Linked DNA regions of Oryzias latipes. The protein of the gene in region 1 interacts with the protein of each later gene in a pairwise test. Links are inferred from orthologs where the notes say so. Each region holds a gene or a part of one and is shown on either strand. Other genes may lie near its edges.

Region 1 (4,587 bases):
CCTTTAATGGTAAACCAGAAGTTAATAGTTAGGATCACGTGTTTGAGAGAAGCTGCAGGCCAAGCTGCTGTTACTTAGAAACCCAGACGGTTAAGAAAGACATTATTTTTAACCCGTTTTAAAATAAAGACGCACATCCTGTAAAATCTTTTTTTTTTTTTTTTAGTGGCTCAAAAATAAAAAGGAATCAGCTTGTTTGCTTTTATGCAGACAAGGATGGCAGCGAGCCAACCTTTGTCCTCAGCAGAAAGACCCTTCAGCTCATTATGTCTGCTTTTTGTCTTTGGGTTGAATGATCTCCAGCCTCACAGAAACATAAACGGTCAAGTTTCTGCCGCTGAGGTTTCACAAAAGAAGAAAGAGGAAAAATAATGGGTTGTCACTTTGTGCAGCACAAAAGAGGTTGTTAGACAGAGGACCTTCAGTTTCCCACACTCCTGCAGGTTAGCAGGGTTTCTGAGGAGGATTTAAACTAGAGAAGCTACTCAAGATAGAAGTTTTTGTTTGAAATATATTTTTGCAGGTTTGCACAACCAAGCTTCCCCAAAAAAAAAACGTTCTAGACTTTTGCATATTCTATTCCAAAGATGTAATTTGGTTTTGCAGTGTGAGACTGCACAAACATGCAGTCACACGTAAACACATTACCGATCAATAAAGCCCTATAGCAGTGTTGAGCACTGGATCTAACCCACATAATAACTTCTAATCTCTGACATCTAATCCAGCAAACGCAGACTGGAGGGCTGACAACAAACCCTCAGCAGCTCAAAGCATTTAATAGCTAGACTCGTTCTTTCACCCACACACGTCAACAATGCTTGTCAGAGACACACACACACACACACACACACACACACACACACACACACACACACACACACACACACACACACACACACACACACACACACACACACACACACACACACACACACACACACACACACACACACACACACACACACACACACACACACACACCCACACACACACCCACACACACACCCACACACACACACACACACACACACACACAAAATAAATGTGTTTTTATTTTATTTTATTTTATTACAAGCACATACAAGAAGCCTCCAATGAAAAACTAGCCACTTGATTTGCCAAAAAGGTGAAACGGAGAACAAGCTGAGGACAAAAGGGTCCACGGTCCATTAATTCACCCTGTCAGATTATCAGATGACCTCTGCATGAGTAAAACTGTAAAGTGTTACTGCACTGCAGGTAGTATGAGTCAAAGGGCATCTTCAAAGAAACTGTGACACCATTAGCATCTAACTTAACAGATATAAGACTCTAAAAGCCTCCAGTTTTGATAAAAATTAGACTCGACAAAAACGTATTTTATGTGACATGCTTACAAAACAGAAACATGAAATACAGGTCAACGTGGAATCAAGCTAGCAGAACATTTAATGTCTGTGCTACAAGTGTCCACCAATCCCCACTGCAGCATTTGAGCTCCTAATCTTCCAGTTCCAGGTACATATCTTTCATTTCTAATATAAATAGAGGGCATTCATCAAACACATGTCAGGGCTTCACCCTTTGGGGGAGCTAAGTCGTAGTGCATTTGTGCACGGGACAAGCCCGGGCCAAGGTTTGCCGAACAACATGTCCATCGCCTTCAGGGTTGGTTACACCAAAGATCTGCATGACGTCACACTCAGCTGAGGACAAAGCCCACTTGCTTTCTCCCAGACAGAGAGGTGGGGGTAGAGCTCCAGCAGCTCAGCAGATACATATGCATGTGCAGAAACAGATATGCCAGGCAGCTGCAGGATACCCACGTGCAGATGTGCTGCCAGGCTGATGCCTCGGCATGTGCATGACGAGATTTATCATGCAAATGAGGCATTACAACCCAATGAAATTGATTTTACACATGTTTGCCACAAGGGTTTTGCACCAACATCAGTTTGGCCTCTTTTACTGCATGATGCAATTTAACTCCCAAGTGCAATCCAAGGGAACAATACACCCACTGCACACAGTGCTGTCCTGCAAGATTTACTGTTCTCATCATCAATGCACCACTGGATCCAATTCATAATCCAGGATATGCCCCACGGTTGGATGATCCCTCATTCTCACAACTATTATATTTTACACATGCATTGCAGTAACCACTACTGAGCTATCATTTTTATTTAAAAATATGTATATACATTATTTTGCTAGGCTGGGCTTGCACACATAAAGAAAAGTGGCAAATAAAAGGCAGACAAAGCCTGGGAACGCCCCCTAAATCCTGCAGGGTAGCTGTCATTTTATCAGCTGGATCAACCTTCATTCCAGACATTTTTGTCTCAACCCACAAGCAGAAAATAGAAAATGCAGCATGATTACAGGTAAAGCGTAAAAATAGCTCCCACCTGCTCTTTAAAGGGACGTATGTACATTTATTTGTTTAAACACATCCAGTCGCAATTAAATAAATAGACAACAAAGACACATCAGTGGATTTGAAGTGACTCACCTCTCAGAAAGGGAGTCTCGGACGCAGTTCCAGGTGATCACTGACGTGTGTCCGTCCGGTGCCTTTTTTTTTTTTTTTTGTTATCGCCCTGCCGTGTTGACTGCTACGTTGTCGGTTTCTAGGTAGCTAACGTTCCCGAAGCGTAAAATCGACCTCAAGGCCAGAAATCGTTGACCACATTAGCCGTGAAAGTCCTCAAATAATGTTAGTTTGAGCTCTGCCGCCTCGCCACACAACACCTCCGTCCTCCTCTCTTTTTTTCCAGCCTTATTTCGTCTTTTTTTGTGAGCTCGCAGCTGTTTTCGTTGTTGCAATCTCCTCTGGAAATTCCTCGTCTGTCTCTTTAAGAGAGCATTTCCGGGATTTGTTGAAGCGGAGGGCGGGACTTAGCGTACAGCTGGGTGCCTGTCATTTAAACGATTGGCTGTCCTGAAACCCCTCAACCAATCAGCGCTCGGAAATCCAGACGGCTTTAATATATTTAGATTTATGCAAGAATTCTTGATTTTTATTGGTTAGTGGATTAGTTCAGACCCCACCCAATACACGTGCTTTTTTCCCCCCCCCTCCCAGTTTTAGTGTCAGGGAAGGCTTTTGTGCTAAACCACTTAACATTTATGATGAATCATTTTAGTTATTTAATAAACGTTTACACCAAACGGGTTGTGAAATACGGTAACCAATAAAGATTAATAGCTTGTTACTTTTCTAAATGAGTTCTAATCTCCTACTTTTCCATCCCTTTTACTAAAACAGAGGAACCGTGTTGACACAGAGCTAAGAATAGATCAGCTATATGTTGTATCTCCATAGTGCAGCTGCACGGACTCCACGCCCAGCAGCCCACGGCTTACTGTCACTATTCTGCTCAGCCATCAGGATGAGGCCTGCATGACAAGGGCTTTAAAAATGGCCTTATGCTCACGTGACAGCCTAAATAAAAGTCCACATGGTTGCTCTTAACATAGTTGCATTGCCTAAGATTGATTATGGTGTAAAGCAAAATTATTAATAATTGACAGAAATGACCTCCATATGTTTTTATTTTAAAATACACTATCAGTGCTGTCTGCGAGGATTTTACAGTGACTGTTTTTGTTTTGTTTTTAACAGTAAAAATCTTCTATAGATAGGTATATGTTCCTCTCTGTGTCCCTACAAAGAATGGTATGTTTTTTTAAATTGACCAGAACCCATCTGAAGTTGACTGGATAGTGAGCACTAAGCTAAATGTGTGCATTTTGCGCCCTCTGCTGTTCACCTGAGAAAAGACACCTTTGTACAGGAAAAACGTTTATTTACATACCACAGCCATTCTATTTGTGTCACTTATAATTAATTTTTGATTACATTTATTCTAAAATTTAAATTAAAAAAATGATCATAATAATAATGACACATTTTATTCATATAGTGCCTCGCTGGACACTCAAGGTCGCCTCAGTACAAAAAAATATGTAAATATTCACGTTTTTATTTAGAAATTGTTAGTAATTTACAAATAAAATAAATTATTTACATTAAAAGAAATCCTTTTTTCTTGAATAAATGTAAAATTCAAATTTACAAATGTAATTTATTTTATGTTATGTTAGGGTTTTTTGTGTCTTTTTTATGTAACTTTTAAAAATGTCAATTTTTTTAGTGTTTTTTTTAACCCATTTGCTGTTTTTAATTGAGCTATACAAGTTCTATTCTATTCCATTCTATTCAATTGAGACTAAAAGCAGACAAAATGATGGCTCTAAAAAGACTGTGGCTATTAATTCAGTAGATTCATTTGAATTAATCAAAATTCAAATTTGAGAATTCAGTTCTTCTGTTTTTTCTTCGAACCCTCTCAGAATCCACTTCTTCTTAATTCCCTGTCCCTTCTTCTCTGGATTTTATTATATTTATTTATTTTTTGTCAGGAGTCTACCATTTGAGGTTTTTTTATAATCTTAATAAAAATTGCAAAAAAAAATTGTTTTTTATTTCCTGAATTTTCTTCGATATCTTTCTTGCTTTTCTTATCATGTTTATTTATTTGCACCTTATTTTTTCTTTTTCATGTTAAGGCTTCATTTCAGCTTGTTCCTTTTGTTTAT
Region 2 (4,374 bases), on another chromosome or scaffold:
ACGGGATACAAAATACTTTGAATATCCCTCACTCAACAACTCAGCTCCCACATTTTGTTCTGCTCGGTCCAACCAAAGTGTCAGTTTTACACCTACTTGTTCTGGTTGTGCCTCAGGGCGCTGATACAGCGCCCCAGGGTCATAAGGGAGGTGTTGATGTTGGTGGCTTCCTTCATCCTTTCTCCAAGACGCTGCTCTTTGCAGCGTTCAGATCCGGCCAGATCACACACAGTCAGCCTGGAAAGTGCATGATCAAAACATGGCAGCGCCCAAAATAATGTCACTGAGTTTGAGCTTGCTGCAGCTGAACTTACTCGCTGATTTGCAAAGCTTGCCCTGGAACTGCATCGGGGTGGACGTGCAGAACGCGGATGGAAAAGATGCTGTGGCTGAATTCATGAATTAACCATTAGATATGCTACAAAAAGAATTCAAAACAGAAAACCTCTTGCTGGGGTCCTACCTTCTGCTGGAGTTTTGATTAAGATGAGTGCTGGCAAAGCTCTGGTTTCGACATCCAGCTTTTAAAACCTTCCAGGCTTCTTCTGCGCTCCGCACCTGGATCCAGGTAAGGTCTGTGGCGATGAAAGGGGAAGAAGAACTCAACGTTATGTATACATGTTATACAGTCAAACACAAAGCAGAGACTTGTTCCAGAGGACCAGCTGGTGTTACCTTTCACGTAGGGGTTGCCCTGCTTGTCGTCACTCAGCCGCAGTGTGATTCTTTTTCGGGACTGCAGGGAGAGTGAGGTATCCAGCAGGTCATACAGGAACTCATTGTAGATCTCGAAGTAGGACACCCAGATGGAAAACTGCACCCCTTCTTCCAGGTCGTCCCCTCCACTGAGAGAAAGGCTGTCCGGCTCCAAACACACACTGTCAGTGTCTGCAAAAAGAAAATTTGGTCTAATAGCAGGTGAATACGTTCTTACAGTGGGGGCCTGTAGGAAATGCCTCACTAGATCATATTACTTTCATCTAAAAATGACAGAACTTGTCAACACGTGGCTTTCCTCCTCACCTTCCAGTTGTGTAGTGATCTGAGTTGTGGAGGAAAGTCCTCCAACGCCGCTGTCCCAAACTGTGGTAGTCCCAGCTCGCCGAGACGTTAGATTTTCATCCTGTCAATAACGATAAACACCTCAAATTACGTGTCAAAATCTAAGTATAGCACCATTCTTTCCATTTCTATTTACCTCCTTGAGCAGAGAGTTTTTGCGAATTTCCTCCATCTTGACCTCACTTGAGTCGAGCTGCCTCACATCCTGAGACATCACAGGCTTCAGGTCCATGGCGCTGTAAAGGCGGCCCTGCAGCTTCCTGAACAGGGATACTAGAGCTCGAGGCAGGAGGCCTGCTTCCTGACCGCTGCCTGTAAAATGGCATTCAAAACTCAAATATGGGAGTAAAGGAACCAGATGCTGTGCTGAAAACATCTCAGGGAATGAATAAAATTGACCTTGGATGGTGTAGGTCTTTCCAGAGTTGGTGACACCATATGTATACAGAAGCCTGTTCTCTCCTTTAAGAACTTCATTTATCATTTTCTTCAGCGTGGCATCATAAAACTGTTGCTGCGTCGTTTCTGGACCAAAGATCTTTGGGAAAACAGGAGAAAACAGAAAATTGTGGATCCATCTTTTCTAGAGGTACCATACAGTGTTTGGTTATTTTACCTTGGAGAAACTGAATTTGTGAATGCTCTGAGTGACTCCCTTCTCTGCCGTCTTTGAATTCTGAGACTCTCTTGGAGCTTTGAGCAGCACGGTGGCATCATCTTGGACAGTCACACTGCCCTGAAAGAGGAGCAAAAATTAAGTGTAAAAAGCATCAAAACTGAAAACAACCACAAAAAAGTATTTGTGGAAATGACAACATAACTCACCTGCTCTTCGCCCTGTTCTTTCTCCAAGTCTGTAAGCGGTCGGATACGCAGGAAAACATTCACCTTCTCCATATTCCCTTCATCACAGATTCCAGATTTCTTTACTACTTTCTGAAAAAACACATGAATCAATGATTGCTGCCAAATTTATAGCTTTTTTTCCCTAATATTTTGATAAGTTTGACACTAAACACGCCAAAATTCAAAATATAAAAATAGGAAAAAACAAATTATTTTAACATTTTTGGTGCATAGCGGGAACAAAAACCTTGTGTTTGACCACTCCAAACTGCAAGATTCAGCAGATCCTCACCTGAGCTGCAACAGATGATCGAGGCTCCAGACCAGGAGAAATGACCGAGAGCTCAGGCAGACGCGGCCTGGTCAGGCATCCGTGCTCTGCTGCTGTGGACTCGAACACAGCCATCTCTTCCTCCTCGTCGGATGGACATCCATATGGAGAAGATAAAGAGAACGCCAACGCCATGTTTTCCTGTCACAAAACACACCACGTTCCCGTTATGAGTGTTGTTGGCACTCCCTAAATGAAATTTACAGAAGAATCTATTTTGTATTTATGCTAAACACACACTTACTTCAAATGTTACCTAACATAGCATACTTTGGGGAATTATTGGCACAACTTAACTTTTATTCCTTATATGTTTTGTCATGTCTTGAAAATTCAGGTTTTCAAAACAAAAACTTACCGATTAGCACAGGTCAGATTTAAATTCCTTCGCTTAGATCCCAATGTTTGAAATAGCCAACCTTTCTGTCTCACCTAAATTGTCTAAAGAATTAAACACTATCGAAATATCTGGTAAATCCTCTCCATGGGTTTTCAACTGCGGTTTTCTGGGCTACCGGGCTGTTTACTCCGCCTGAATGCGTTGAAATTTTTTGAACAATGCGCTGCTCTCCTCAGTTAGGTGCTGATTGGCTGCTTGAGGGCGTATGCTATGCTCCAATTGGCTGGAAGCAGAAGACACGGTGTTCAGTTAAAATACTTCCTTCTGAAACATAAACGAAACTTGTGAGTTCCTTTTTCGTTCCTGAAATAAAATGAAATAAAATAAAATAAAACTTGAAAGACAAACAGAAGAACAGTAAAGGCAAACCAACCAAAAAGATCGAAAGAAAGATCGAAATTTTTTGTGCACCGTTTCATTGTTTTTAATATTTATATTAATATTAATATTTTTACTCATTTGCTTTCATTTCCATAAAACAAAAACAAAATTTCACACACAATCTTAAAGGGAACTGAAAGAAGAAAACAAACTTTTTCACCCCCTGTTGCATAATTAGAAGAATAAAAAAATACAATAATTATTACATACTGTATTTAAACATAGCCTGCATATAATCTATAAAGAACATTGGTATTCTTGTGGTTTACATAAAAGCATTCAGCTTAAACACCATCAACCTAAAAAAGACATGAAGATAAATCATAGTAGCATTGAGAAAGAGTTTTTTGTACATACAATAAAGGAAGAAATACACAAAACACAACTGTGAGATATGCACACGGTCAACCAATAAAAATCTTTCCCAGGTCCAGTAATTTCATTCTTTCGTGGCATTAATGCTTTAAAAATGGACTTGGTTCTGTGAATTCTGGAGCCTTTGTTTTTGGACACTGTGCTGAACTCCGTAACAGAAGTAGATGATTAAGCCTAATAAAAAAAAAGACATAAAAGACATCACTAGTGGTTATTCTCATGCAAAACAATGTTTTGAGAAATGTTAAAGCAATATTCAAATTAGTGCAATATTCTTTTCATACCTACAGCCATCCACACTGAATAGCGAATCCAGGTGTCTGATCCAAGCTGAACCATGAGGTATACATTAATAAAAGTGCTAAGACTCGGAAGCAGGGGCACTAAAGGAACCTGCACACATCAAGGAGTGCAAGTGTTATGACAAACCCATGGATATGTGCGAGAATCATTTAGTGAGTTCTCAGTGACAGCTTTCATTTTCAGTTATTTTACTAAGCATGGTTAGTTAGCAGTTTCATCAAAGAATTTCCATCATGAAGAAAAAACAAAAACAAAAAAATGAGACATACCATAAAGGCAGCTTTCGATGTATTCTGTGGCTGTCTCCAGATAATTAGAACTGTGAGAACCAGCATAAGCACAAGCACAATGACACAAAGCAAACTCCACACCTGATGGGTGTGCAGGGCGGTGGCAGCCTCCAGAAGGAAAAGGCTTAAGATGACAGCTAAAAAAACTGCAACATAACATTAGTGTTTGATTAAAATAGCAATTAATATGGTGTTTAGTTTAATTTGAAAAATTACTTACTAGTAAAAAGAGTTAAAAGAGACACATTTTTTGATGTCCGGAATGTTGCTTGAGATGGAGGACTTAACACACCACTTATTGTGAAAGGCTCTGGTTTGCCTGTGATTGAATGTTCATTGAGGTCAACTTGGTACCTTTATGAGGAAGAGCATATTAAGATATGTAG

Evidence for each region.
Region 2: the proteins of fam214b (region 1) and kif20a interact in binary tests that used the Homo sapiens proteins (3 or more experiments, as listed by UniProt). The two-hybrid records come from large-scale screens. The link is inferred for Oryzias latipes from reciprocal best matches to the Homo sapiens genes ATOSB and KIF20A.

The regions. Positions count from the first base shown.
Region 1 is NC_019867.2:3,984,837-3,989,423, reverse strand, and holds the start of fam214b (protein FAM214B), read right to left. Parts: upstream 2,851-4,587; 5' UTR 2,498-2,850; intron 1-2,497. UniProt on the Homo sapiens protein: Transcription regulator that may syncronize transcriptional and translational programs.
Region 2 is NC_019872.2:14,183,181-14,187,554, reverse strand, and holds the start of kif20a (kinesin-like protein KIF20A), read right to left. Parts: upstream 2,824-4,374; 5' UTR 2,598-2,823; intron 2,381-2,597; 5' UTR 2,375-2,380; coding exon 2,201-2,374; intron 1,999-2,200; coding exon 1,888-1,998; intron 1,799-1,887; coding exon 1,679-1,798; intron 1,601-1,678; coding exon 1,462-1,600; intron 1,375-1,461; coding exon 1,199-1,374; intron 1,124-1,198; coding exon 1,024-1,123; intron 889-1,023; coding exon 676-888; intron 576-675; coding exon 464-575; intron 390-463; coding exon 315-389; intron 238-314; coding exon 97-237; intron 1-96. Other genes in the region: cationic amino acid transporter 2-like, read right to left, coding at 3,484-3,569, 3,680-3,788, 3,968-4,134, 4,209-4,342. UniProt on the Homo sapiens protein: Mitotic kinesin required for chromosome passenger complex (CPC)-mediated cytokinesis. Following phosphorylation by PLK1, involved in recruitment of PLK1 to the central spindle. Interacts with guanosine triphosphate (GTP)-bound forms of RAB6A and RAB6B.